Linked DNA regions of Daphnia pulex. The protein of the gene in region 1 purifies or fractionates together with the protein of each later gene. This does not show direct contact. Links are inferred from orthologs where the notes say so. Each region holds a gene or a part of one and is shown in the gene's direction. Other genes may lie near its edges. The genes, in order: puff-specific protein Bx42-like, splicing factor U2AF 50 kDa subunit-like, pre-mRNA-splicing factor SPF27-like, probable ATP-dependent RNA helicase DDX23, pre-mRNA-processing-splicing factor 8, U2 small nuclear ribonucleoprotein A'-like and splicing factor 3A subunit 1-like.

Region 1 (4,283 bases):
TAAGAAGACAACCTCTTTTCCCCTTGTAAACAATTGCCATGGGGAAATGTCGCGGCTTCCTGATACATTTTCATAAGAAACACACGCATATCTACTTGAATGAACTGTATACATCCTGCATGCATTTATTATTGTTCGTCTTAATGAGATGCTCGGTGCTGTTGCGTAATTAACGTGCCTCGGGACCTCAACTATCTCTCTCTCCATGGGCAAATAACTTGAATAATAAACATGACTGCTGCCATGGGCTTATCTGTCAGTAAACTTCACCATCAGCTGCTGCGCCACAAGCACCCCGGTGCCAAATCAAGTTCCCCTTGTGCCAAGGCCTACATAGTATAGTCTGAGCGAGACAAGGCGGCCTATATCGATCGATCCGTCCAAAGAGCCTCAACCAACCCCCACCACCCAGCCAACTGTATTATCGCACAAGGGAAAAGGCGAAACTGCTATACACACACATATATAGTCTTGGATCAAATAGATGATATATATACAGAGGAAGAAGAAGACTTTGATAATGAGACGTGCTGCTGCTGCCGTTCCTTTATTTATTGGAGACCGGCATCAGCACATCTCGTATTGATTTCCTGTTGCAAAGAGAGCAGCCGTCGTCGTCGAAAAGTTCCCAAATCTTGTCCTACAACTGTCTCTCTATTATCGGATGTACTGTATGCATTGTGGATGCATTATAAAGCCCTACGCCGCAAAAGAGATTTATTGGCCCACACATTGAAAGTCGAAACGGAAGGCGGAAGAGAGACGGAGATGAGGCGAGCTCACGGTCACCGCACATCCACATTTATCATTTGTTATGGGACGAGACTCTGAACTGCCTCGCTGATTCGCATCGCTTCAAAATGAGAATCTATTCACTATAGTATATCAAACTCTTACGTTGGCATTTATGGCCACCGGATTTCAGACTGTTAAGCCAGCTATCCGTTGATAAATCAGATGGTGCAACCCTCCCAACGAGAACAGCATTTATTTTTACGACTGTGTCGTCGTCGTGGGATATATTGGCCAAAGTGAAAGTTTTTAAGGTGTTTACTTTTTTCATATGGCGATGCGCTCAGTTCCGCTCGGCGTCCAACTTGTAACACAGAGAGGGTCGATTTCATCAGCGCTCACTTTTACACGTCGGCGTTAATTGCGTTGCATCAAACGAAAAACACAGTGGGCGGCAACTCGTTATATTTTGCCTTGCCATTAGATGTTATTACAAGCAGATTGCAAGAGACGCGAAGTTCCATTAGAGTTGACAAGCGTTCGTATTTCAACTCGGGGCGGGTATGGATTACTTGACTTTCTTATTCTTTTCCACCCACTCTCGACTTTCATCTCATTACCGTAAAAAATGCCAAGAACGGCTGCGAGGAGAAGGAAAAAGGTTGTTGACTGCGCTCTTATTTTTTTATGGAACGGAGAAGAAAAACGTCGGAAGGAATATGAGAGAGAGACTGTAATAAGAAAAGGCGCGCTAACACTCTCATCTCAAGTGCGTCTATTTATTCCGCCCATCATTAAACCTTATTGGATACATCCAACGCAGAGCATACACACACACACGGCGCCACAATCTTGTAAAAAGTTTTCAGGATCGATACGACGTTTTTCCTTTTTTTATATAATTCCCATCACGTCTTGAGCGCCCCATCCCATTGATGGAGACACAATTTTATGTAAACTCTGGATAATTTAATAATATTCTTTTTTTTTTAATTTGTATCGAATAAAATGTCGATGTTGCGAAAAGCCGAAAATATCCCGCATTTTATCTCGCTCTGTTGCGAAGAAACAATCTGACAACGTTGCATCATAAATTATTCTCGAGTTACAATTTTTGTATTTGGCAACATCTTGGTTGAAAGACTCGACTGAAAACATGGCGTCGTTATCAAGGTATAATAATTATTTTTTTGATTTCCTTGTATTTAAACTATGTATTAATTATGGTCATGTTATTTTATACAGTTATCTCCCAGCGCCAACGCAGTTGACGTGGGATCGAGATGTCGAGGAGCAAAAGGAACGTGCTAATCGCCAAACGGCCATCGTGGCCGCCACAAAGGCAATCCCACCATACGGAAATCGCGATTCATGGATGCCTCGAAATGTTTCCGATTTCGGAGATGGAGGTGCTTTTCCCGAAATTCACATGGCCCAATATCCAATGGACATGGGTCGCAAAGACCAGGCTGGACAAAAGTCAAATGCCTTGGCCATCCAACTTGATGCAGAGGGAAAGATCAAATATGATGCTATTGCCAGGCAAGGCCATGGGAAGGACAAACACGTCTACTCCAAATTCACTGATCTCCTGCCTGCTGAAATTACCAATGAGGATGATCCCTCTTTGCACAAGCCCACAGACGATGAAATTGCAGATATAACAGAGAAAACGAGACAAGCCCTGGAAAGAATCACCAATGCCAAAGTAGAAGCAGCTCTTCCAGTCCGTGCCGCAGAGAGAACTGGCCCTGCTCAATTCATTCGCTACACACCAGCACAGCAGGGTGATGAATTCAATTCTGGCGCCAAACAACGCATTATCCGCATGGTTGAAGTACAAAAAGATCCCATGGAACCCCCAAGGTAAATTTTAGAAAAAGTGCCATTTCATTTCATTCCCATATTGACTGATTATTTTTCACTAGGTTCAAAATCAACCAAAAAATCCCCCGTGGTCCACCTTCTCCTCCTGCCCCCGTGTTGCATTCTCCTACACGTAAAGTAACTGTCAAGGAACAACAGGAATGGAAAATTCCGCCTTGCATTTCAAATTGGAAGAACGCTAAAGGTTACACCATTCCTCTTGACAAACGTTTGGCAGCCGATGGTCGAGGACTTCAACAGGTGCCGTCCCTAACGACCTAAAAACGTGTCTTTCCCCAATCAACTAAATGTTGTTGTTTCTCGCAGGTTCACATTAACGAGAAATTCGCGAAATTGGCCGAATCATTGTACATAGCCGATCGAAAGGCCAGAGAGTCGGTTGAACTTCGCGCCCAACTTCAAAAGAAACAAGCGCAAAAAGAAAAGGAAAAGAAGGAAGATACTCTGCGACAGCTGGCGCAGCAAGTCCGCGAAGAGAGAGCAGGTCTGCGACCCGGTGCAGGCGCTGCTGCTGCTCGTGAAGACGACGATGATGCAGCGGAGCGTGACAACTTGAGACAAGAACGGCATCGTGAGCGTCAACGTGAGCGCAACATTGCACGCGCGGCTCCCGGCGATAAAAAGTATTAAACATTTGATTTCCTTTCAACTTTTTCCAGTCAATTAATTAACAATTTCCATTGACGCGTAGATCCAAACTCGATCGCCAACGCGAGCGTGACATTAGTGAGCAGATTGCATTGGGGATGCCTGCTCGAGCTTCTGCAAGTGGCGAGACCATGTACGATCAGCGTTTACTGAACCAAACTCGTGGAATGGACAGTGGATTCGCCGATGATGAGGCCTACAATGTCTACGACAAACCTTGGCGTGAACAAGGAACTCTGTCCAGTAATCTCTATCGTCCGACCAAGAACCTCGATCAAGATTTGTACGGCGACGATTTGGATAAACTTGTCAAGACCAGCAAGTAAGTTGACCTACTTTCAAGGTGCATTGGTTTATGAAGTTGAAACTCATTTTGTTTTTCATTTGTTTACAGGTTTGTACCTGATAAGGAATTTAGCGGAACTGATCGTTCTGGTCCTTCCGGCTCCCGCAGTGGTCCAGTTCAGTTTGAGAAGGAAGAGGATCCTTTCGGCCTCGACAAGTTTTTGACGGACGTCCGCAAGGCCAGTAGCAAACGACCCACTGACGCGGAACGCTCAGACAAGGACAAGGATAAGAGACGGCGTCGAGACTAAATATTGTTTTTCTTTCCGTTGACGATTTCGCAATTTGTTTCATTTTACCTCACACAAAAAAAAATCTTTTTAAAAAAACCACAAAAACAATGATTCCTTTTCTCCAAGACCAGAATACATTTCAAATGAAATGTCTGTGACTAGTTTTATTTATTCATTGATTACGAGACAAAACACTTGATTCAATACTGTAAAGTGACGAAACATTTTGCAAGAATGTACATAATGGTAAATCGAAAATGCAGCAGAAGACTTGAATATCACCAGACAAGTGTAAGTAATAATCATCATGAAAAGAGTCCAGTGGAAAGTCCACGATAAAAACACCTAGCCTCCAGAAGCCTGTGTAGCTGCTCTATGCTGATAAGTCGGACATGAGCTTCTTCACTCAGCTGCTGTCTCTCCTGCAGCAGCCCAACC
Region 2 (4,166 bases), about 5.0 Mb from region 1:
TATGTTCCTTTTTTTCAGCTTCTTGCTTTTTGTGATCGAGGTCTTCCCGAGTAACTGCAAGAGCCACGTCTAAAATGCGTCCATCTAACTGTAAATATGGATTTCGAGACTCTTCTAAACACTTTTGAGCCGATTCCGAATCCTAAAAATGGTTAATATGAAAAGTTATTAGTATGTATTTATTTTTGCAATAATGCAACTTACTCTAAATTTTACGAATCCAGTGCCCTTGGGTCTCTCCATAATTTTATCCATACACAACAATGCATAGTGAACACTGCCAAATTTTTCCATGAAATTTTTCAACGAGTCTTTTGTGGTTGAAAAGTCCAAATTTCTGATAAAAAGAGTCTTTCCTTCTGCTACATCACTCTTCTTTTCTATTTCAGAATTATCACCCTTCCAAGCTTCTTCTTTTTTTGGACTTTCTTCTTCACCGGAACCATTCTCAACTTCAGAATCAGAAGCTTCTCCATCTTGTTCTTCTTCATCATTATCTTCTTCTTCATCATTACTTTCTTCATCATCAGATTCTTCATCTTTTCTGTCATTTTTCTTCTCTGGCGGCTCAATGTTTGGAACTTCGTCAGTTTTATTATTTAAAGTGGCATACTGTTGTTTTGGTATGGCCCAATCAATAGCTATTTGCCTTCCTACAAAAAAAAAACAATTGATAAGCTATTATCAAATTTAAAATGTTAAAATTTTCTTACCAAGAAATGGTTTTGCATTGCATTCTTTGATTGCTGTAGCCGCACATGGAACTGTTTTAAATTGAACAAAACCACAGCCAACTAAAGTGCCACCAGGTTTCTTTAATAATTTCACATCCTCAATTTCTCCATATTTCTCAAACCAGTTTTTAACAGCTTCTTCTGTTGCCTGTTAATAAATTAAATCAAGTACTAACTTACTAACATACTAAAAGTAGCATAAATTAAAGTTTCTTGGCTTACTTTGAAAGATAAATTGCGAATAATTATTCTTCCTCTTTTATTGGGTGGTCTCTTCTTTGATGTGTTTGCTTTAGTAACAATAGAAGCTTCTTTTTTAACTGAAGAGTGATTCATCTTTTAAATCTATCCAAACACGTGCTTGTCTGTATAACTGATGTAGCTAGTCAAGCAGACGATTATATGTGTCAAAATGTAGCATAGACTGTTGTCAATTGGCAAAATGACAACTAATGAGGATTAACATGAATACAACAATTACTCAGAAAATAAATTTTATGTGGCTATTATTTTATGAAATATTTAATCTTACCTTTCAGTATATTAATCAAAACCAAGTTTGAAATTGTAAACATTAAATCGACGTTGCCGGTACAAGGAGTCAATCGAACCTCGTCTCCGACGCCATTCGCCCATTCCCAGCCTTTAATCAAACCGGCTTACAGTCTTAGTGAAAATTTGGACAATAATTAACTGTTTTCCTCTGCTGTGTTTCTTCTTATTGTCGTACAAAAGCTAACAATCACACGTTAATCATGGGAGAAGATAAAGATGATCGTAAAGGTATGTTTTAACTTCTCTAAACTACTTCTGTCAATATCAACTATAATGCTTTTGTAATGTTCTTAAGAGTCTGTGATGCTTAAGAAAGAAATGTTTAACACACATTACTTACAAGTAATGGGTGTTTAATGATCTGGTTGTATTTTACACATAATTTCATAACTTTTAATGGTTTATAATGTTGGCTCGTGGTTTTGCTTTTGTATGGAAATATTAGTCATAGTAGTTAGAAGGTAGTCAAGCAAGTAAACTTACTTGTTTGATTTATTAACATTTGAAATACTTTAGTTGACAGGGAGAGAGATCGTGACCGTTCCAGAGATAAGGAAAAGGACAAGGAAAGAGACAAGGATAGGGAAAGAGATAGAGACAGGGATCGTAGACGGTCCAGGTCTCGTGACAGAAAGAGAAGGTCTAAATCTAAGGAAAAGGAGAAGGAGAAGAAGCGTAGCAAGTCCCGTGAACGTGAACGCAAAAGGAGTCGTTCTCCTGTTAAAAAGCAACGCCGAAGAAAGCCGTCTATTTACTGGGATATTCCTCCTATTGGTTTCGAACACATCACACCCATGCAATACAAAGCAATGCAAGGTATAAATCCTTATTCAAGTTTCAATTTTAATGTGCTAATTATTATTTTCTTGAATCTACGTAGCTGCCGGACAAATTCCAGCTAACATAATGACGGAAGTAGCCCCACAAGTCCAAGTACCAGTAGTGGGTAACACAATCACTCGTCAAGCCAGGAGACTCTATGTTGGGAATATTCCTTTTGGAGTTTCTGATGTACGCGCAGCGGAGGAGGAAATGATGGATTTCTTCAATCAACAGATGCATTTGTCTGGTCTGTCTCAAGCTCCAGGTCATCCCATTTTAGCTTGTCAAATTAATCTGGATAAGAATTTTGCATTCTTGGAGGTTTGTTGGATTGTTTTCACGTGAAACCTAGTATTTTAGTGGAATATTTAAATAATTTTGCTCTTTTACTTTTCAGTTTCGGTCAATTGATGAAACTTCCCAGGCCATGGCTTTTGACGGTATTAACTTTAAAGGTCAAACTCTAAAAATCCGCAGACCCCATGATTATCATCCAACACCTGGTGGTGGCGGCGGAGGAGGAGGAGGTGGTGGTCCCGAAACAACGCCCGGCATGAGTTCTGGTGGTATAACTGAAAAGAGGGCTGGAGGTGGAGGTGGTGGAGGAGGAGGAGGCACAAGTAAGGACGACTTAAAGTGATTCTTTTATGGCAAATTTCTTTAATGTATTCATTGTTTTTTGCTCAGTGAGCACGATCGTCCCGGATACACCCCACAAATTGTTCATCGGTGGACTTCCAAATTACTTAAACGAAGAACAAGTAAGTTACCTGTTTCGTCGATGTGACTGTAAAATGTGTTTTCGATTGGGAGAAGAAAAAAGAGTGAGAGAAATGGGATTTGTGAGCGTCTAGTTGAAGCAAAATCGATTCTGATGAATGTCTTCTTCTTTCGTTCTCCCTAAACAGTGGTCACGTGATCCTTAAAACTTCCTACCCATTCCAACCACACAACCTCGATCCATCTCCCCACCGTCGATCCCTAGATTGTTATTTTTGAAGGTCGACTCTAGGCACGCACGCAAATTGTCTCATTCGAATTTAGGTAAAGGAATTGCTGATGTCTTTTGGACAACTTCGAGCCTTTAACTTAGTTAAAGATACGGCTACTGGCTTATCCAAGGGATACGCTTTCTGCGAGTATGCCGACGTCACCGTCACCGATCAAGTAAAGTAGACCATGATAATATTCCTTGAAAAACCATTACATCTAATTTTATTTTTCTTTCAGGCTATTTCCGGATTGAACGGTATGCAGTTGGGAGACAAAAAGATCATCATCCAGCGAGCCAGTGTTGGAGCCAAAAACGCCGCTGCTTACGCCCAGATGCCAGTCCAGATTCAAGTACCAGGATTCAATCTTGCTGCCGGTCCTGGCCAACCGACAGAGGTACAAAAATCAACCTTGTCTAATGCGACAATTTTTAATTTCATTTTGGTCTTTTCTTTTGCGTAGGTTCTATGTCTGCTGAACATGGTGACACCCGAGGAATTGAGGGACGACGAGGAATATGAGGAAATTGTGGACGATATTCGTGAGGAATGCAATCGTCATGGAGCCGTACGTTCAGTCGAAATTCCCAGGCCGTTGGAGGGTGTCGATGATGTACCGGGAGTTGGCAAGGTCTTCGTCGAGTTTATTTCGGTGAGCGACTGCGTTAAAGCCCAGCAGGCGCTGACAGGTCGCAAGTTCGCCAATCGTATCGTCGTTACGTCATTTTACGAACCGGAACGCTATCACCGACGGGACTTCTAAGCCATGACGGCTTCTGTCATCAGACAAAAAGTAATCCGCAAGATATGCCCCTTCTTTTTTTTTTTTTTTTTACTTTGATGAAACAAATAACGTCATGACGAACCGACGCTTGATGAGAATAAACGGCCTGATGCGTACGGGATTTCCCTTGATGAATTTGATTTTCTTTTTCTTCAGTTTTTTTTTGTCATTTCTAAATGGGTTTTTCGATATTTTGCATCAAGTTTGTGTTGTCCAACCTCTTTGTTTGGCGTGTCGGTGAAAAAACAAAACAAACAATAACATGTGTAGTAATGTATA
Region 3 (3,096 bases), about 3.9 Mb from region 1:
GACATCACCAAAGACGGAATACCCGAAGCAGCGACGGCCGAGCACAATGCAAAACGTTTCTGGTTAACGTTGATCTTGCGATGCCAACGGCGCCAGATCTTGGTGGGGGCAAACATACGTCCACCACGACACATGTTACCATAGGCACCCTGACCGGAGCGATGGGTACCACCTCCTCGGACACGGGGAATACGAGCCACAGCACGACCAGTACCCCATGATTCAGCACTTGTCTGATGACCTGTAATAGGAAAGAAGAAGATTAACAATCACACCATTACATGTGTGTATGAAGTTTGTCCGGTTGCCCAACCCCTCACTTTAAGAAAACAAAGCGAGAAAGGCCTCAGGGACTCGCTTTAGTGTTGCACACTGCACAAGAAGAGTCTGACGTACAATTACTCCTACATTTCAATGCTGTGTGCCATATAATTGGCATACAAGTTACCTGCTTTCTCGCTGACACAATAAGGGTGACGACGATTCATTGACATTTGTTGTTGAACAAAGCTGACAATGTCTGGCCTAATGGGAGCCCTGAAGATTGCAGGGAGCTGGATGCTGGTTCCAGAGGCCTCAGCCTTCTCATTGTAAACGGTAATCAACGGCCTCGCGACCACCTTACTCTGTAAAACAAAATGGATAAACAAATTAGATTTAAGATTTTCAAGAGACAACACTTGAATTTACACAAACTTTGAACTAGATGTACCAATTAACCAAAACATAACAATAAACCAAGAACGACGTTGAATTAACATAGAAAAACAGCAAGAGCCCATTTGACACGAGGACGAAACCACGCTGTGGGTAACATTTTACTCCCAAACTTTCGCCATAGATTAACAAGAAAATGGCTTAGAAAAATATACGCACGCAAGAATTTTCTTAAAACACGTTTCTCCCGTTAACCTTTTTACTTACTATTCGTAAATTAATGTATGTAAAAACTAGTAAAATGTTTGGAGAACCTCATGCTTACCATCTTGGTAGATAGTCCTGACCGGGTAAAAAGGCGAATGAAAGAGACCCACAGTAATGGCGACAAAGAGGAAGTCTACAATGTTGCCGGCATACTTTGAGAATTGCCGCCCTCTACGTTCCGTTTTTTACTTGATTATTTACTTGAAAAATTACAGATTATTCACTGAACTGATCCACTGTTTAATAACAAAAATTATGGAGTTTCAATTGATGATTTCAAACATTTTAATGGAGTGATTAGTTATAAAATTTTTAATATTGTTTTATTTGTTTCACAATGCAACGGTGTCCAAAATATTATTGAATAAAATTTAATATACCAATTTATTTTCATATTTTATTCATTTAAAGGAAGTTAATGATCTTTATTCATTATCAAAAAGTAAGTTTATGAATAATTAGACATAATGAAAATCAATTACTAAAACTGTGGCTCATATTTATTAATCCAGCAGAAAATCTGACAATCTTGCTGACAACAGACAGTTTGACACAAATCACAAAATGCCGATTCCGTCAACAAACATTTCCACGCCGAACGAAAGGATTTTGGTTGACGATTTACCATACGTTGACCAAGAATATGGAGATCCAACTCTACGAGAAGCGGTAAGCAAAACTTATACATTGCAAACTTTGAAATATTTGAATCGCTTCGAATTGAGGCTTGGAGATTCTTGTGTTAGCCTAGTCATCTCTAACATCAATACATTATTGTACTAGACCATAGTACTGTATGTTGCTGAGAACTCTCGCTCTTGTCCAATAGTTGTTTAATGAGAGTAATTTCTTTCTATCAGGCACTTGCATTGGTTGATGAAGAGACACGAAGATATAGACCAACCAAAAACTACCTAGAACATCTTCCTCCACTTGAGCTGTCAGCATTTGAAGTAAGAACTGTCTGCATGGAAGTAATGATAGGAGTGTGTAATAATTATGGAAATTATCATGTTCATAGACTCCTTTGATGAAGACTGAATTTGAGCGACTGTCTCAAAAGAAACCAATGGATGTTTTGAGCATGAAACGATATGAACTCCCACCCCCATCTGCTGGTCGTCTAAATGATCTTCAAGCATGGATAGAGTGTGTTGATAATTCAATGGCTCAATTAGAACATCAAACAACAAGGTTTGTTTTCTAAAAAAAAATTTTACAGCAACCATAAATTTAAAAAAATTTCAATTAAAAAACAGGATTTTGAACTTGGAATTAATGTCAGAGTATGGTTGTGAATCATGGAGAATTTATAACACTGTATTGTCCCAGATGATCCAACAATCTCAGAAGCATCTTCAGGAATTTAAGTATGATTTCAGTAAAGTAGACACCATATTGCAAAATACACTATTATATTTTTCTTTACAGGAAACAAATCCAAGATGTCAATTGGGCTAGAAAAAAAGATCAGACAGAGGTTGGAGACAAAATGAAACATTTGGAAGCCACTTGGTTTGGTTTGATCACTAAAAACTACGAAATCGAACTCGCGTGTGCTGAAATTGAGAGACAGTTAGCTTCACTTAATGAATGAAATTCAATGTAAACCTACTTTATCGAATTCGGATAATACACTGCAACAGGAAATTGATTCATCCGAGATTTTCAGTAAGTGACAACCAAAAAGATTTGGTTGTAAGGGAACAAAACAAAAAAATAGTATAAAGTCATGCACTTTCAGATTAGCTTGTCTTATAAATGGTAAGTAGCACGTTCTGATTTTATATATCACACAATTGAAAACGAGAAGAAGCGTATGAGTACAGCAAAGCGTAATTCAGAGAAGGGTAAAAAAAAGGGTAAGATCATAGGGAAGTCTCACTTGGGGCTGAACTTAAAGGTAAAGGGCGGACGGAAGACTCATCTTCCAGCACCATAACTCGTTGCTTTAGGACGCGAACCTGATAATCACATGACATTTTTATGTCGGTCACACTTGATAACTCGTAATTTTTCTCTATATACCTGCATTGCATGTCTTTCCGACATGTTGACCATTTGCTGCTCTAGTCTTTTTAATCGAGATTGGTACTTTTTCTTAGTCCTCTCAAGAAGTTGGACCAACGTCCTGAAAATTAGTTTACGGATATTACATATTTGTTGAAAACG
Region 4 (4,024 bases), on another chromosome or scaffold:
AAACAAACAGATATGTCACAATATTGGCCTATCAGTGTTGTTCTAAACGTGATTCAACGTGATTCTTAACAACATGCTAGACGTCTGTAAAGTTTAGGATTAATCCGCGGGTCCAGTGTCTACGCATTCCAAGTTTCAAGGCTTTCAAATGCCAAGACTAAACAAAATCTGTTCCCTATTATTTTTGAAGGCCTAACAATTCTCAAGGACGAAATGTATGGGCACTGCTATTTGCGGAAGGACGAATGTGATGGAAAAAGAAAACGTTTCAAACGGATGGAGCAGACGACTGTAGAACAAAAACAAGGAAAAACAAAAGACTAACGAAATTTGGGCTACTAGTAAAATAGAAACTTGTTTCGAATTTCAAAGAATTACATTCACCACACACAATACTTGTAAAAATAGGTGAAATGTACCTTGCACCCAACTACTTGAAGCATTTGTTGCTTCTGGGCTTCATTGGGTCCAATATGTCGACTTTTGAATGCCTGCCGAGCGGGCACGACGCGGTCGAAATGCGTTCCGCAAATCCGCTGCGCAGTATTAAGACTTCTCGAGCTGGTGCGGATGCATTCTTTCAGAGGACCCACCACTCTCAATAGATTCTGCATCTTTAAGGCCAATTATTACACAACGTGAGTCAAATGAAACAACACCGCAGGGCACTGTTACAGCACTATGGGAGACTGTGCAAGTAACACCTCACCACGACGAGCGCACGAAACGAAATGAGCGAATCGAGAGGTTTGCATTCGACTTTTTCAGTGCGGACGAAACGGGCGACTTTGACCTGGTTGTGTGTGTGTGTACATAGGAAATGTGGGGGTATAGGCAATAAGGTGGAGGGGGGGAGATATGTACATAAGCGAAACTGATCCCGAACCAGCGCGAAGCGGTTTTTCAAAGCTCATTTGGCGCCCTTGGGCTTCAGTCCATGGCCAATCCGCACGCGGATCCTTTCACTGCCATCAACTGCTGGGCATTATTTCGACTCGGCTAATTTTATTTTGTTGACGTATAGGTAACTGCCCAACTGCGATGTTGGCCAGAAAACATTGAACTGAAACGCATTTAACGATCGAATCTACCAAAGTTACATAATACAATCATTTTGTAAAAATCAAAACGCTAAATTTGTTACAGACCCAGACATAAGTTGACACTTGGTCGAAATAGATTTAGGCTAGCGATAATTCAGTGCAAACAAATAAGTGTCAAAACGGATTTGTCCAAAGTATAGTTTTTTTTTCCTTTTCAAGGACAAATGTCGTATGTTAAAAGATAAGGTGCAAAGTGCCGGGAACAATTCCTATACGTACCAGTGCGTGTAGATTGGCTTCAGCGTCAGTCGTGGTGCAACTTGTACCGAAGGTCTACCTCTCAGCCGAGAGATAAATACGTACGTATGATCTGAATTAGGTTTTCCCTATCATCACATCGGGACTAGTATAGACAGTTCACGCAGTATCACAAAGATTGCCTGTTTTATTAGACAAAGCAGCTAGCCACTCGGCAAATATTAAATTTTAATGATAACAGGAGAGATTCCAATTTCAACAACAACAACAACACTTTCTATAGACTATTAATTCATATCTTACCCAAAATCCAACACGAAACAAACAAAAACTAGAGCGCTGACTAAGAATAACTGCAGCTCGATTGCTCGGCAAGTTGTTGATTAAAAACGGCGTTATTATTACGTAATAACTGTGGGCTCGTCTCTGCCGGTCAGCTCCCGCAACTTGGAAATTCGAAGCGCGATCTGAACAAGTGGTTTCAACATGACCTAAATTCAATACGGCATTTATCTTTAAAAGCTTCAGGGTTACATCAATCAATGTCAATATGGTATACCTGGGCGTCAAGCAGATATTTATCAGCATCGGACTCGTAGCTATCGATGTAAAGGCGGACAGTAGCCCCTGAGCTTCCAGTGCCGCTCAGGCGAATGACAATACGCGATCCATCTTGGAAAATGATCCGCAATCCCTTTAGGATCAAAATGAATTAATACTGACATTTTTATTTCCGTTAAAGACATTTGTAGTACCTGTTTGGAGGAGAGGCTACCATCGATGGGATCGGTATAAGAAAAGTTATCGGCCAGGGCCACCGTAAAAGATTTGCCATCGAATTCGTGAACAGAACCGATGAACGAGGGTTCGTTCATGAGTGCCTCAAGGTCGGCCATCATTTTGTTGCAGGGCTCGGAATCACAATTTTCGTAATCGTATCTAAAAGGTCAATTCAATGTCATAAGTAACGTTACATAAATGTGTTACGTAACCTCTAATTCACCTCGTGAAGAAGTTTCGCCCGTACAAAGTCCAGTGGTCTTTTAGAATTTGTTCGACTGTTTGTTTCCTGGTGGCCAGAATAGACAACCAGGCAAGAACCGCCCATATTCCATCTTTTTCTCGAATATGATCTGAGCCAGTTCTATTAAAATTGCAGATATGAAATATTTTCATAAATAAAATTCGAATGTACTAAAATTTACCCAAAACTTTCTTCGCCGCAAAGCGACAGTTGTCCGGCATCCATCAGATTGCCAAAGTATTTCCAGCCGGTGGGGACTTCGTAGATACTTTTCTGCAATTTGACGGCAACCCTAATAAAAAATTATTTAGTTAAAACAAATTCAGTGGTCCAATAATGTAATTAATACCTATCGACAGCGGCACCAGTAGGCATGCTTCTGGCAAATCCTCTAACTCCAGTTTTACGGAAGTAAGGAATACAATCCATATTGTTGGCGATGACTGCTAAAGAGTCGGAAGGGGTGACGAAGAAGGCTTTCTCACCCAAAATCATGTTTCGATCCTTCATTTAAATACACACATTGAAATATTGAGTTAAGTTTAAGAGTTAATGAAAGTTAATTACTCCATCTCCATCAAAAGCGGCTCCAAGTCCGAAATCGCCTTCTTTCATAGCTTGAACCAAGTCGGCGGCGTAAGTAAGATTCGGGTCAGGATGATGTCCTCCAAAATCTTCCAGGGGAATAACATTTACGACACTTTGTGCGCTAGCTCCAAGCTCTTCGCAAAATATGCGGCTGACATAAGGACCGGTCACTAAAAAAACAGTGGTCAGCCAAATGGTGTCGTATTTAAAGACTTTTTCAAAGATCAATACCTCCGTGCATTGAATTGATCAACACTTTCAGAGGGGTTTGACCTGTTCCACAAATAAGGTTTTTGATAGAACCAAAATCAAAGATTTCTTTCATCAACTCCAAATAATCGTTGACAGAGTCTACGACTTCAACTGTAAATGGGTGGCCTTCAATCTACAAAGAGTGGAACATGGTATGAAATTTTGAATGACATCACTAATTTTAGCTTTCTTACATCAAATTGCTGAGTTCCAATGGTCTTAATATCACATTTCAGGTCTGGTACTGTAGAATATTCCTTGATTCCAGTAGAAAGCTCATAGATTTTGTTGGTTACACCATCAGGTGCAGGCCCACCGTTGGAGGTGTTAAACTTGATGCCGAAATCGGCATCAGGACCACCTGGATTGTGACTGGCAGTGAGCAAAATTCCACCGTTGGTCTTATACTTGCGAATCATGCAAGAGACTGCAGGAGTAGAAAGAATTCCGTTCTGCCCAACAATCAGCTTGGATACCTGTAATGACATCACATTAGAACCATATTTTTAAAACGGAATAACAAGGATCTGTACCTTATTGGCAGCACAAATGCGGACAATGATCTCGACTGCTTGGTGCAAGAAATATCGTCCATCTCCACCAAGTACCAGAGTCGAACCGGTTAGAGCCTCACCAAGTCCTCCAGTTAACAACGACTGAATAAAATTTTCCGTGTAATGTGGCTGAGAAAATACTTTAACCGCTTTTCTTAGGCCGCTAGTGCCAGGTTTTTGGCCTTCAAATGGCGTTGTAGGTACTTTTATTGGACTCAACATCTTAGTTTTTCTCCCGTAGTTACAGCACAAGAGACTGAGACTAGAACTTTTTGACGGACAAGTCAATGATACGTCGTCTGTTT
Region 5 (4,043 bases), on another chromosome or scaffold:
AAATTTGGGAATTGCGAAATAAGAGAATTTGAAGAAATTAAAGGTGTTCATTATTAAATAAAGGAAGTATAATCTAATAGGTAGAATTACTGGATTTTCGTATGATATGCATCAGGTCAAACTAAACTAAAACTTAAAAAACAGTTCCCCTTGAATTGGTGATGCACTTAGTGTATTTAATAATGCGCCAAAACTCTCAAACAATTATTGTTGGTTGCATAAATTGTGTGTCAAAAAATTCATTATTTAATATGATTTTAGCTCTTGCAATATCACAAATCAAAGGGGCAGTTCAATTATAAGGGGCATCTAAAAACTACAGTAAATAGTAATTATTTCATTTTTAGGCCAAACTCATATTCTTTTTGCTGAGGGTTTCTTTGAGCTCATTTCTGATATTTTCCATCACTTCTGGATTATTCTCTACAGTTCTGCTCAATTCAGTTAGAGCTGAATAAGCCATGGCTTGATTCAAAGGGCAGACTACAAATCCACTCAGTCTTCCCCATAGTCTTTCATACAAATTGTTCCTCTCTTCTACCGTAAAGTCCTCTCTTAAAGCTGTCATCAGAGGTTTGTAATTGCCATATCCCATAGCGTGTGATAAACCTAGGATTCCTGTGCCTGCGACAGCTCCTGCAAATGATGACAAGAAAAAATGATAGGTGCCAAATGGAAAAAAATGAAAACTGCCAAACTGAAAATTACCAATGACAGCTCCAAGAGGACCACCAGCTAAGCCACCAAGGAAGGTTGGCAAAGCAACAGTGGCTGAATCTTTTAATGGTCCAGCTAAGGAAACTGAAAGTGATTTTGTCCTCGACAGTTCCTCCAACAGACCTTCAATCAACTTGATTGCAAGAGTCTGAAATACATAAAACGTTTACATAAAAAAAAAAATGAAATCCTCTTTAATCTTGTCTTGAAAAAGGGGACATTATAATTTTATACTTCCATGGCAGTAGTCTATTGTTGTTACGATAATTGGAGTCACAAAAAATATTTTGAACTACAGACTAGAATGGTGATCATTAAGAATTTGCACTGAGTTCGGTTTAGTAGCGATAAACTTTCACTACTAATTTATCAAATCGAACGATAACAATGTGTAAACATGATAAGAAAAACGAAAAACTGCAACAAACTCAAAATAAAAAGAAGCAGACAAATTTCGAACGTGTGATGCAATAACAAACGGAGTTGCCGCTTATTTAAAAATAATTAAAATAAATATTCAAGCCATTTTCGACGGCAACTCCGTCTACAGTAAACCGGCATCGCGCTTTTTCGTACAAGCTGCGTATACTTCCGTGGCTTTCATTGTATAAGAAACGTGGAATTGCGACTGGTTTCTAGATTGTGTATAGGTTTTTAAAACTTTATTGGTGAGCATTGTCGTTTATTCTATTTCAAACTTTGTTTCATTGATGATGGTTTGTGTCTCAAAAGTAACTGTCTGGTGAATGTTTTAAGGCTAAACAAATAGTTTATTGCCATGAGAGTGGACATGCTTGTAAATGTCATGGCTGACTGTAAGCATTGGATGATGGAGCTATTATGTTCTAATTTTATTGTTTTAATTACCAGGGCCATAGCCCAGAAAGCTTAAATCAGGATGTCGGGAATTCCACCATTTTTTATTCCTGGTGTCACACCCCCAAATCCATGGGCAAATGCGGCCATGATGGCGCAAGCCCAGCAACAGGCACAGCAAGCCCAAATGGCTGCTGCGGTCCAAATGCAGGCTCAAGCAGCTGCAGCTGCTCAACTTCAAGCTGCTCAGATCCATGCAGTTCAAGCAGCCCATGCACAAGTGCAGGCTCAGGTTCAGGCAACACAAGGTAGTAATTGAGTACAAACGTTTATTATAACAAGGTATTTTATCAGTTTTATTTACATCAGGTCCTCCTGTAATAACTAGTTCGAAACAAGAGCAGATGACAGAAGAAAAAATGCAAGACAAGGCTCGTAAATGGCAGCAATTACAAACCAAACGTTATGCAGACAAGAGAAAGTTTGGCTTTGTTGATTCTCAGAAAGAAGATATGCCTCCAGAGCACGTCCGTAAAATCATTCGGGACCATGGTGATATGACCAACCGAAAGTTCCGTCACGACAAGAGAGTGTACCTTGGTGCTCTTAAATATATGCCACACGCTGTTCTCAAGCTCTTGGAGAACATGCCTATGCCTTGGGAACAAATCCGTGATGTTAAAGTACTCTACCACATTACAGGTTCGTTTCACTTATCTTTTCTTTATGTTGTATAAACGCTAATGGTATTCATTTGTTTTAGGTGCCATTAGCTTCGTCAACGAAATTCCGTGGGTCGTTGAACCTGTTTACATTGCCCAGTGGGGTACCATGTGGATTATGATGCGTCGAGAGAAACGAGATCGTAGACACTTCAAACGAATGCGCTTTCCTCCTTTTGACGACGAAGAACCTCCGTTGGACTATGCTGACAATATTTTGGATGTAGAACCCCTGGAAGCCATTCAGATGGAGTTGGACTCGGACGAAGACAAACCAGTTGCTTCTTGGCTGTACGATAGTAAACCTTTGGTCGATACTAAATTCGTCAATGGTACCACCTATCGCAAGTGGCAACTCGAAATGCCTCAACTGGCGACACTCTACCGTTTGGCGAACCAATTGTTGACTGACCTCGTCGATGACAATTACTTTTACCTCTTCGACCTCAAGTCATTCTTCACCGCCAAGGCGCTGAATATGGCAATTCCGGGTGGACCTAAATTCGAGCCACTTGTAAAGGACGGAAACACTCAAGATGAGGATTGGAATGAATTTAATGATATCAACAAGATTATCATCCGGCAACCTGTTCGAACAGAATATCGTATTGCCTTCCCCTATCTCTACAACAACATGCCCAACTTTGTTCATTTATCTTGGTGAGTAATACTGGCTTTCAACTTGTGCTTTAATGGCTGAGATATACACCGATATCCAGAAGATACTTGGATGTTGGTGGCTGAAACAGTCGTAGATAAAAAAAACCAAGAGCTCTTAGTCTTTACTACATAAAACTATATTGAGCCCTACAATGATTATTTCTCTTTTAGGTATCACACCCCAAATGTGACCTTCATCAAGACAGAAGATCCCGATTTGCCGGCTTTCTACTTCGATCCGCTCATCAATCCGATTTCGCATCGCCGTACCGAGAACAAGTTGGCAGAAATGTCTGAGCAAGATTTGTTACCCGACGATAGCGAAGAATTTGAATTACCAGAATATGCGGCACCACTGCTTCAAGTAAATTTTCCATCATCTGAAATTTTAGTTAAAAAGCAATTTTAATCGATATTTCTCTTGACAGGAATGGCCCTTGTATACGGACAACACAGCGAACGGTATTGCGTTGTTGTGGGCTCCCAGGCCGTTCAACTGCAGGTCGGGATTCACTCGTCGTGCACTGGATGTTCCATTGGTCAAAAACTGGTACCGTGAACACTGCCCACCCGGACAACCGGTCAAGGTGCGCGTTTCATACCAGAAGCTATTAAAGTACTACGTCTTGAATGCGCTCAAGCATCGACCACCGAAAGCCCAGCGCAAGCGTTATCTTTTCCGGTCCTTCAAGTCGACCAAATTCTTCCAGCAAACAACTTTGGATTGGGTTGAAGTCGGCCTCCAGGTAAATATTAAACTTTTTCCTGTTAAGAGTCCTTTATAATGATGAGTTGTGCAGGGGTCATGAAATTACCCATAACATGTTAGGTAGACATTGAAAGTCGGGTCTGGCCGTTTGCTAGCCAACTTTCGATGGGACAACGCACTTACTGATATTAACAATCCTCTTAACTTCACATTTCATATTTTTATATCTCTTCCCAAAGACTTAACCCATTTCTTTGTTTGAACAAATTTAGGTCTGTCGTCAAGGATGGAATATGTTGAACTTGTTGATTCACAGGAAGAACCTCAACTACTTACATTTGGATTACAATTTCAACTTGAAACCCGTCAAGACCCTTACAACCAAGGAGCGTAAAAAGTCACGTTTCGGAAATGCTTTC
Region 6 (3,434 bases), on another chromosome or scaffold:
TCCACCAACTTTTAGATATACCCAACAGTTAAATTGTTAAATTTTTCGAGAATATTCTGAATTAAATCTTACTTCAAGGTACTGACGTCTTGGAAGACACTTATCAAGTGCTAGAAATTGAGTTGATTGTTTTTCATTATGTTGGATTGTAGCAGCAAACCTACAATGAAGGTGGGCAGCAAACCAATGTTTAGGCTTCAATTCGTGAAGTAATGTTTCTCCAGCTTGACTTCCCAATACATTTTGGGCTATCTCATCACTGGAAGGGGAAAGAAAGAAATGTGTAAATTGAATTGTGTTTTGGAACAATTAGGTAACACTATTTCAAACCGAAAGAATGGTTTCCAATGCAGAAGTTCTCTGGTATCTGCATAATTGTAGACACCACGAGGCCAATCATGTGAAATAAAAATATCTATGTCTTCTTTTAACTGAAAATTAAAAGACATTTAAGTTTTTAATCTTTAAAACAATCAAAATGTAATTACCTGTTTCAAGCGAAATACTTCAAGACTACGAACATGATAAGCTGATCTCATAGTGCTGTTTGTGTAGGGAGGTTTTTCAAAATGTCCTTTCAAGTAATCATGTCCTTTAAAGATGCCTGATATTCCCGCTATTCTGATGCCACCAAACTTGACTACACCAGCATAGCCAAGATAATATATATTTGGAGCAACCCAGCCTCCATATGCAAGTTCTTGTAGATAGTTTGATGCTTCATGATTGCCTCCAATGAAAATAGTTAAAATTGGTGCTTTCAATTCACCATTATAATACCTGATATTGAAAAAAACAGTAACAATTACAATAAACTCTTATTTGTCTAAAACAATTATAAATAAATACTTGTAGAATGTACAGATATGACGGAATTTGTCAGGTACTGCCATGCATTGTAAGTCACTTTCGTTTCGAACAGCTTGAAAATCTCCACAACAGATGAGCAAATCAACTTTGACATTTCTTTGCCTCGCCAAATTCTCGACAGACCGGTAAATTTGATCAAGTTCACCATGAGCGCACCCTTCAACAGCAATAATCATGTTTTATACTGTCTTTAACTTGATATTTTAAGATAAATGTCAAATGCTGTTTCAAAGTTGATAACTTGCTTTCAAGTTACAACACAAACTCAATATTTTGAAGTTGTTTACAGTTTTACTGGAAGCCGAATCGTTCGTGGCTATTGTCGTCTGCTTAAAACCTAGCGGCAAAAACACAGCCATTTTCATATATTTTCTAACGTTTATAATTTTTTTTAATTTTGTTGACAAATTTAAATACTTTAGTTTAGAAAAGTATTTATATTTCAAGATAAAAAGCTACAGATGCACAAAACCTTTGATAAAACTTTAGTTTGAAAAGTTAATTTCCTGTTTGGAAATGTATTCGGAAATGAGTTGCAACATCGCACATGGCGTCACTTAGATATCCCTAGATTTGTCAACTACAAACGTGCAAAAACATTTTGTTCAAGTTTTAATTGCATCTTTTCCCAAATTCAATTACGTGTTTAAGGTTTAAAAAGCCAAAAAGAAAATGGTGAAGTTGACGGCTGAGGTCATTCACTTGAGCCACCAGTACACGAATGCCATCAAAGAAAGAGAACTAGATTTAAGAGGTATGTAACCGGCGTTCAGCTTCAATCTCATTCAGTCAGTTACTAAAGTTCAAAAGTTTTTTGTGTTGGCTTAAAAAAAGTGATGTAATTGTAAAAATATTTCGTGAAAATACAGCTATTTTTTGTCATCATTTTAGGTTACAAGATTCCTGTAATTGAAAACCTAGGAGCAACTTTAGTAAGTAAATTTGTAGTGTAATCATGCTGAACAGTTACTGGAGTGTTTTCTTTTTTCAGGATCAGTTTGACACAATAGATTTTTCAGATAATGACATAAGGAAATTGGATGGTTTTCCCTTGCTGAGACGAATTAAAAGTCTTCTCCTAAACAACAACAGAATCTTGTAAGTTTTTTGTTGTATTATTCACAAATTTAATTTCATGCAAATGATTCTTTAAAATCTGTAGACGCATTGCTGATGGATTAGGTGAAGTCATTCCAAACCTCGAAACCCTTGTCCTGACAAATAATCATCTGCAAGAGTTGGGCGACCTTGACCCATTAGCAGAATTCTCTAAACTCACCTATTTAAGTCTACTGAGCAATCCTGTTGCAAATAAGCAACATTATCGTTCATATGTGATAAACAAGTTGCCAAGCCTGAGGGTGTTGGATTTTCGTAAAGTAAAACTTAAGGTAATAATGTTCTACCTGACATCAGGAATTTTCCTCCTTATTCATGTAAAACTTGATTTGAAGGAGAGAGAAGCCGCCCGAGACCTATTCAAATCAAAGAAAGGAAAAGTATTGGCGAAAGAAATCGCCCAGAAAAGCAAGTTTCTTTCAGCTGAAGCGGGAAATAAGGCACCGATAGGTAAAAAACACAAATGTTTTGTTTTGTTAGCCTAAGAAATGTTATTAAATTATTTTGTGTAGGTGGTGCATCTGCGGAGGAGGCTCGTGCAATCCGAGAAGCTGTTGCTAATGCCTCCACCTTGGAAGAGGTAGAACGTCTAAACCAAATGTTGAGGGCAGGTGTCGTACCTGGAAAAGCCACCCAAGGCTCCAGCAAAAACGGAAATGCAAATGGTAAATTCACATCCTGTCTTCAACTTCCTTGTTTCGTTTGTTAAAACTTTTGAATTGTTGTAGGTGAAGATATGGAGGAGGAAGAAGATGAACCCATGGAGAAATGACAATGCCATCACGGGTAAAAATTAATTTGTATCAAGCTGTTAATGTGAATGTGGGACTACACTTTGATAATAAAAATATCGCTACCCTAGAGTAAATAAGGTAGCAGAAAGATATTTTTGAAATTACAAATTGCCCGTCTAATTTGTGTCACAGTTAAAAGACCGAGAAGCGATTAAATTTGGTCATTTTAACAAAACTGTGTTGTGAAAAATGCGTAGCGAAACCAATTTTCAGTCATAGAATTAGATATGCTACATAGTGTGTATATCCTACGTGTATTCGGAAGAGGCTCATCTGCCATTTGCGGAATGAGTCATGCATAGAAGGCGGATGTGGGGGTGTGCGTTATTTTCAGCCGGACATGACGGGTTAGGAGTAGCTTGGAAACTGTAGACGATCTAATTTAGAGCGTTTCGTGTCCTTTCATTAACGAGCGTGCCCGTGCGTAAGTTTCGTTGTTTTGAGTAAGATTTTTGGCGCCCACTCCTATTTTTCCCGATACCACATCCGGAATATCATGAGCTAACACCGCCATGATGATGTGATAATGGCAGCAAACTTGGTTTGTAGGTTACAACTTACAGCTATACGAAAATCCAGAACTGATCGTTTTAAGTTCAAAATTCTACTAATATTTACAAATAAATCATTAGTATTTGATAATATCCAATA
Region 7 (4,281 bases), on another chromosome or scaffold:
AAGGCGCATTCAATTCTGTCCTGTCATTCAATAACTGAACAGAACAGAACTAAAAAATCTAACTAGACCATGGCTTCCGAAAGATATAGTTTCTCCCTAACAACTTTCAGGTTTTCTATCATTTACTTTCTAAGTTTTGACTAAATATAACATTTATTTTCATTGTTTAGTCCTTCTGGAAAACTGGTACAAATCGAGTATGCTTTGGCCGCAGTAGCTGCCGGTGCTGCATCAGTCGGCATTAAAGGTATATTGAAATTTCAGCATGTAAAAGATTGTAACAATGTAAATAATGTTATGTTATAGCTGCCAATGGTGTCGTTCTGGCCACTGAGAAGAAGCATCGGTCAATCTTATATGAAGAACACAGTGTTCACAAGATTGAAATGATTACCCCCAAGATCGGTATGGTCTACAGTGGAATGGGTCCTGATTATCGCCTCTTGGTTCGTCAAGCAAGGAAAATGGCTCAACAATATTGGGTAACTTATCAAGAACAGATACCAACTGCCCAGCTTGTCCAGCGTGTTGCTACCCTCATGCAAGAGTACACACAGTCTGGGTAAATATTTGGTTTTGTCACAAAAAAATAGTTCTTAAATAGTATAGATGAACATTTCAATGAATTTTTGTAATGCAGAGGTGTCAGGCCATTTGGTGTTTCACTCTTGATGTGTGGCTGGGATGAAGGACGTCCATATCTGTTTCAGTGTGATCCATCAGGAGCCTACTTTGCCTGGAAAGCCACTGCCATGGGAAAGAATTACATCAATGGCAAAACTTTCCTCGAGAAAAGATACAATGAAGACCTCGAGCTCGACGATGCTGTCCACACTGCGATTCTTACTCTCAAAGAGGGTTTTGAAGGAGGCATGACAGAAGATAATGTTGAAATTGGTATTTGTAACGAGCAGGGTTTCCGCCGATTATCTCCCGCTGAGGTTAAGGATTACTTGGCGAACATTGCCTAAACGGCTCGAAAATTCTTTGATTTCAAACAAGTGTCGAAAAATAAATCTGATGGTTGCTTAATGAATTTTCTCTTGGATTTTAAAAACAAAATTCCTTTTCTTTGTTCATTGCTAAACAATCATTTTCCTACTATCTTCACTCAAATTGCCTGTTAGAAATCTTAAAATCTATCAGATAAAAGATCTAAAAGATCCAGTCATAATTCCTCAATCAGTTCAAAGTGGTTGTATTTTTTATACTTGATCATTGTTGTTTAACGTTCAAGTTTATTCTAAATTCTTACTACATACTTTCTTCATTTCTTGTATCGATTCAAACGAGCAAACAGATGAATGAACCGAATGAACTATGAATTTGGATATGATTTTGTTTTGGTACTTGACATATATTAGTGAATTCCGTATAATTCAACAGTATAGTTCAAGGGATTCTTTTTCTGAATTGAACTAATAGCAGATAAGAGTTTAACAATTTTTTCTAGGTGGAAAAAAGTGGGAAGAAGTCGGAATCGGAATTCGGAAGAAGTGGGCGCCACACTGAAATTAAACAGTCTGACAACATTGTAGCGGATAGACAGCAACGTTTTGTTGCGTTCTGCTGTTAAAGCCGGAACAGAAAAACGCTATTTAACTCACATTTTAGAAATAGAATCAGTTTTTAATTTTGACGTGAGAATCTGACAATTTCATACATCAGAATAGAGTTTGATAGTCAGCATGCCACCTGCTGTGGAAACATTGCCAGTTTCTGGTGAAGTAAATATGCCCGAGAATGCTTCTACCAAGCCTACTGTCGGCATCATTTACCCACCTCCTGAAGTCAGAAGTAAGTTTGTTGTCAACTTACAAGTTCGTGAATAATTCATAACAATTTTCTTCTTAGATATTGTGGACAAGACAGCCAGCTTTGTAGCCAGAAATGGGTTGGAGTTTGAAGCACGGATTAGGAAAAATGAGCAGAATAACCCAAAATTCAACTTTCTTAATACTGGAGATCCTTATCATGCATACTACCAGTACAAAGTTAAGGATATCAGAGAAGGAAAGCTTGCAGAAGGTGCACCTGCAGCAGCACCTGTCCCAGGCCCACCGGGAAAACCACCACCATCAGCCCCTACATCAGCACCAGCTTCGTTGGCACAGCAGCAGAAACAGCAAGAAATTTTGAAACAATTCCAGCAAGAAGCCCCTGTAATCCCAAAAGAGCCACCTCCAGAGTTTGAATTCATTGTTGATCCTCCATCGATTTCAGCCATGGAATTGTGAGTTTTTTAAATAACTATTTAAATATTATGAAGCTAAAACTTAACAACACTTGTGTCTTATTTCAGAGACATTGTGAAACTCACTGCCCAATTTGTAGCTAGGAATGGTCGCCAGTTCCTCACAAGTCTGATGAATCGTGAGGCCAGAAATTATCAGTTTGACTTTCTGCGTCCTCAGCACTCGCTTTTTCAATATTTCACTCGTCTCCTAGAACAGTACACCAAAGTATTTTGATTGGTAGATTATTTTGTTTGAATGAAAGTCTAAATGATTTTGTTATTCTTTAGGTTCTTATCCCACCGAAAGACTTGATGACCCGTTTGAACGAGGGTTGCACTAATACTAGCGTTGTCTTACAAGAAGTCAAACGACGAGCCGACTGGCAACGTCATCAAGAGGCTCAGAAACGCCGAGAAGAAGAAGAAGCTGAAAGGGAACGCGTGTCATATGCGCAAATTGATTGGCACGACTTTGTAGTCGTCGAATCAGTTGACTATCAACCATTCGAAATTGGTAATTTCCCTCCTCCCACAACCCCAGAGGAGGTCGGTGCCCGTATTCTTCTCCAGGAGCGCTACGAAGAAGGACAAGATGTTGAGATGCAGCTGGAGAGTGAAGAGGAAGACGATGATGAAGAAGACGATTCAGACACGGAACAGACAAAGCCACCACCACCACCAGGCGCACCGCCCTCTCAAGCCATCAAGGGAGATGGACTACAGCCTCCTCCAGTGGCTCCTTCTGCCGAAAACGTCATCGTGCGTAAAGACTACAATCCCAAAGCTGTGGCAAAACCACAAGCCCGTCCGCCTGCTCCAGACGAGTACCTCATCTCACCCATCACTGGAGAGCGAATTCCGGCTAGCCAAGTGGCTGAGCACATGCGTATCGGTTTGCTGGATCCGCGTTGGTTGGAGCAGCGCGATCGACAAATGCAAGAAAAGATGACTCAAGAGTCTGTGTACGCGCCCGGATCAGCCATCGAAAACAGCTTGCGAGCATTGGCTGAACGTCGTACAGATATTTTCGGTGTCGGTGACGAAGAGACAGCCATCGGTAAAAAGATTGGTGAAGAAGAGCGTCGCAAAGACGAGACCAAATGGGAAGGACAACAACCGCCTGCCCCGCCACCATCAGGTGGAGAGGGAGGATCAACGTTCCAACCCCGACCTGGTCCACCTGCTGGCCTGGTTACCATACAAGAGCAGATTGCGCAGATCCACAAGAACAAGGCGCTCATGACTGGCATGAGCGAGGAAGAAGATGGGCTAGGATCTAATGGCGTTGTAGCAGCAGCGCCACCTAAACCTCCACAACAATTAATGAGCATTCCACCAAGACCACCGGTCATGATGTCTGCTCCGCAGCCGCCACCCATGATGATGATGTCCATCCCTCAGCCGCCAATGCCAATGCCCATGGTCCCCCAGAATTCTTTCATGACGCAGATGCCTCAGTCTATGGGCATGATGCAGCAACAGCAGCAGGGTCAGGGTGGTCGAGATGTCATGGAGGAGGAGCCTCCTTCTAAACGACAGCGCAACGAGGATCAACTTATGCCTGAGGAAGCCTTTTTGGTCAGATATCCCGGTCTGCTCCACTTCCATATTGGTGCACCAGTTTACGCCGAAAAACCCGAGTGGAGATTGCAGGGCCAGCAGCTCAGCTTTTCCTTGTTGCCCACGGAACCAATCTCCGTTGTTAAGCAGAAGATTAGTGAAGCGACAGGAATGCCGCCGGCCAAGCAAAAGCTCTTTTGGGAGGGGCTCTACTTCAAGGACAATCATTCTCTGGCATTTTACAATGTTACCCCCGATGCTGTTGTCCAGCTTCAGGTGAAGGAACGAGGCGGTCGTAAGAAGTAAAAAACAATTCTGGAAAATCCTAAACCATCAAAAAACCTCATTTACATCAGTACGGACCTTGGGGGATAATTACGTAATCGGAAAGCATTTTACAACCATTTTGTCTCTCCCTCTGCTACACTGTCATCGATTCCTTCCTGGTCTCAGAAATGGAAATATATTCAACTTTTCTCATTTCT

The links.
Region 2: the proteins of puff-specific protein Bx42-like (region 1) and splicing factor U2AF 50 kDa subunit-like purify together in Homo sapiens (affinity purification with mass spectrometry; 4 studies listed by BioGRID and IntAct, with this or other methods). This does not show direct contact. The link is inferred for Daphnia pulex from reciprocal best matches to the Homo sapiens genes SNW1 and U2AF2.
Region 3: the proteins of puff-specific protein Bx42-like (region 1) and pre-mRNA-splicing factor SPF27-like purify together in Homo sapiens (co-immunoprecipitation; 3 studies listed by BioGRID and IntAct, with this or other methods). This does not show direct contact. The link is inferred for Daphnia pulex from reciprocal best matches to the Homo sapiens genes SNW1 and BCAS2.
Region 4: the proteins of puff-specific protein Bx42-like (region 1) and probable ATP-dependent RNA helicase DDX23 purify together in Homo sapiens (affinity purification with mass spectrometry; 3 studies listed by BioGRID and IntAct, with this or other methods). This does not show direct contact. The link is inferred for Daphnia pulex from reciprocal best matches to the Homo sapiens genes SNW1 and DDX23.
Region 5: the proteins of puff-specific protein Bx42-like (region 1) and pre-mRNA-processing-splicing factor 8 purify together in Homo sapiens (affinity purification with mass spectrometry; 5 studies listed by BioGRID and IntAct, with this or other methods). This does not show direct contact. The link is inferred for Daphnia pulex from reciprocal best matches to the Homo sapiens genes SNW1 and PRPF8.
Region 6: the proteins of puff-specific protein Bx42-like (region 1) and U2 small nuclear ribonucleoprotein A'-like purify together in Homo sapiens (affinity purification with mass spectrometry; 4 studies listed by BioGRID and IntAct, counting the BioPlex papers as one, with this or other methods). This does not show direct contact. The link is inferred for Daphnia pulex from reciprocal best matches to the Homo sapiens genes SNW1 and SNRPA1.
Region 7: the proteins of puff-specific protein Bx42-like (region 1) and splicing factor 3A subunit 1-like purify together in Homo sapiens (affinity purification with mass spectrometry; 3 studies listed by BioGRID and IntAct, with this or other methods). This does not show direct contact. The link is inferred for Daphnia pulex from reciprocal best matches to the Homo sapiens genes SNW1 and SF3A1.

The regions. Positions count from the first base shown.
Region 1 is NC_060018.1:215,965-220,247, forward strand, and holds puff-specific protein Bx42-like, read left to right. Parts: upstream 1-1,414; 5' UTR 1,415-1,888; coding exon 1,889-1,905; intron 1,906-1,977; coding exon 1,978-2,598; intron 2,599-2,660; coding exon 2,661-2,859; intron 2,860-2,925; coding exon 2,926-3,242; intron 3,243-3,310; coding exon 3,311-3,589; intron 3,590-3,661; coding exon 3,662-3,863; 3' UTR 3,864-3,998; downstream 3,999-4,283. Other genes in the region: uncharacterized protein LOC124188708, read right to left, coding at 4,151-4,283. UniProt on the Homo sapiens protein: Involved in pre-mRNA splicing as component of the spliceosome. As a component of the minor spliceosome, involved in the splicing of U12-type introns in pre-mRNAs.
Region 2 is NC_060018.1:5,212,988-5,217,153, reverse strand, and holds the start of splicing factor U2AF 50 kDa subunit-like, read left to right. Parts: upstream 1-1,336; 5' UTR 1,337-1,489; coding exon 1,490-1,517; intron 1,518-1,805; coding exon 1,806-2,105; intron 2,106-2,169; coding exon 2,170-2,432; intron 2,433-2,508; coding exon 2,509-2,731; intron 2,732-2,798; coding exon 2,799-2,872; intron 2,873-3,155; coding exon 3,156-3,278; intron 3,279-3,341; coding exon 3,342-3,500; intron 3,501-3,566; coding exon 3,567-3,866; 3' UTR 3,867-4,166. Other genes in the region: RNA-binding protein 28-like, read right to left, coding at 1-142, 205-653, 714-882, 957-1,070. UniProt on the Homo sapiens protein: Plays a role in pre-mRNA splicing and 3'-end processing. By recruiting PRPF19 and the PRP19C/Prp19 complex/NTC/Nineteen complex to the RNA polymerase II C-terminal domain (CTD), and thereby pre-mRNA, may couple transcription to splicing.
Region 3 is NC_060018.1:4,114,090-4,117,185, reverse strand, and holds pre-mRNA-splicing factor SPF27-like, read left to right. Parts: upstream 1-1,305; 5' UTR 1,306-1,366; intron 1,367-1,436; 5' UTR 1,437-1,488; coding exon 1,489-1,593; intron 1,594-1,784; coding exon 1,785-1,877; intron 1,878-1,945; coding exon 1,946-2,118; intron 2,119-2,183; coding exon 2,184-2,294; intron 2,295-2,355; coding exon 2,356-2,521; 3' UTR 2,522-2,578; downstream 2,579-3,096. Other genes in the region: uncharacterized protein LOC124189006, read right to left, coding at 1-241, 449-626, 1,550-1,581, 2,810-2,888, 2,953-3,055. UniProt on the Homo sapiens protein: Required for pre-mRNA splicing as component of the activated spliceosome. Component of the PRP19-CDC5L complex that forms an integral part of the spliceosome and is required for activating pre-mRNA splicing.
Region 4 is NC_060019.1:348,371-352,394, forward strand, and holds the start of probable ATP-dependent RNA helicase DDX23, read left to right. Parts: upstream 1-1,191; 5' UTR 1,192-1,402; intron 1,403-1,470; exon of another isoform or gene 1,471-1,702; coding exon of another isoform or gene 1,703-1,792; intron 1,793-1,860; coding exon of another isoform or gene 1,861-1,995; intron 1,996-2,056; coding exon of another isoform or gene 2,057-2,240; intron 2,241-2,304; coding exon of another isoform or gene 2,305-2,445; intron 2,446-2,506; coding exon of another isoform or gene 2,507-2,617; intron 2,618-2,674; coding exon of another isoform or gene 2,675-2,829; intron 2,830-2,892; coding exon of another isoform or gene 2,893-3,083; intron 3,084-3,144; coding exon of another isoform or gene 3,145-3,298; intron 3,299-3,359; coding exon of another isoform or gene 3,360-3,641; intron 3,642-3,698; coding exon of another isoform or gene 3,699-3,941; exon of another isoform or gene 3,942-4,024. Other genes in the region: glycine dehydrogenase (decarboxylating), mitochondrial-like, read right to left, coding at 420-614; phosphoglucomutase-1-like, read right to left, coding at 1,703-1,792, 1,861-1,995, 2,057-2,240, 2,305-2,445, 2,507-2,617, 2,675-2,829, 2,893-3,083, 3,145-3,298 and 2 more. UniProt on the Homo sapiens protein: Involved in pre-mRNA splicing and its phosphorylated form (by SRPK2) is required for spliceosomal B complex formation.
Region 5 is NC_060027.1:2,049,185-2,053,227, forward strand, and holds the start of pre-mRNA-processing-splicing factor 8, read left to right. Parts: upstream 1-1,230; 5' UTR 1,231-1,385; intron 1,386-1,587; 5' UTR 1,588-1,615; coding exon 1,616-1,841; intron 1,842-1,902; coding exon 1,903-2,235; intron 2,236-2,296; coding exon 2,297-2,915; intron 2,916-3,086; coding exon 3,087-3,279; intron 3,280-3,343; coding exon 3,344-3,661; intron 3,662-3,896; coding exon 3,897-4,043. UniProt on the Homo sapiens protein: Plays a role in pre-mRNA splicing as core component of precatalytic, catalytic and postcatalytic spliceosomal complexes, both of the predominant U2-type spliceosome and the minor U12-type spliceosome.
Region 6 is NC_060021.1:10,325,715-10,329,148, reverse strand, and holds U2 small nuclear ribonucleoprotein A'-like, read left to right. Parts: upstream 1-1,399; 5' UTR 1,400-1,542; coding exon 1,543-1,624; intron 1,625-1,761; coding exon 1,762-1,802; intron 1,803-1,861; coding exon 1,862-1,968; intron 1,969-2,032; coding exon 2,033-2,261; intron 2,262-2,324; coding exon 2,325-2,439; intron 2,440-2,501; coding exon 2,502-2,654; intron 2,655-2,717; coding exon 2,718-2,761; 3' UTR 2,762-2,891; downstream 2,892-3,434. Other genes in the region: lariat debranching enzyme B-like, read right to left, coding at 1-8, 73-259, 331-431, 489-780, 850-1,046. UniProt on the Homo sapiens protein: Involved in pre-mRNA splicing as component of the spliceosome. Associated with sn-RNP U2, where it contributes to the binding of stem loop IV of U2 snRNA.
Region 7 is NC_060024.1:13,065,699-13,069,979, forward strand, and holds the start of splicing factor 3A subunit 1-like, read left to right. Parts: upstream 1-1,476; 5' UTR 1,477-1,688; coding exon 1,689-1,797; intron 1,798-1,854; coding exon 1,855-2,233; intron 2,234-2,302; coding exon 2,303-2,462; intron 2,463-2,524; coding exon 2,525-4,102; 3' UTR 4,103-4,281. Other genes in the region: proteasome subunit alpha type-2, read left to right, coding at 70-110, 171-247, 307-562, 641-971. UniProt on the Homo sapiens protein: Component of the 17S U2 SnRNP complex of the spliceosome, a large ribonucleoprotein complex that removes introns from transcribed pre-mRNAs.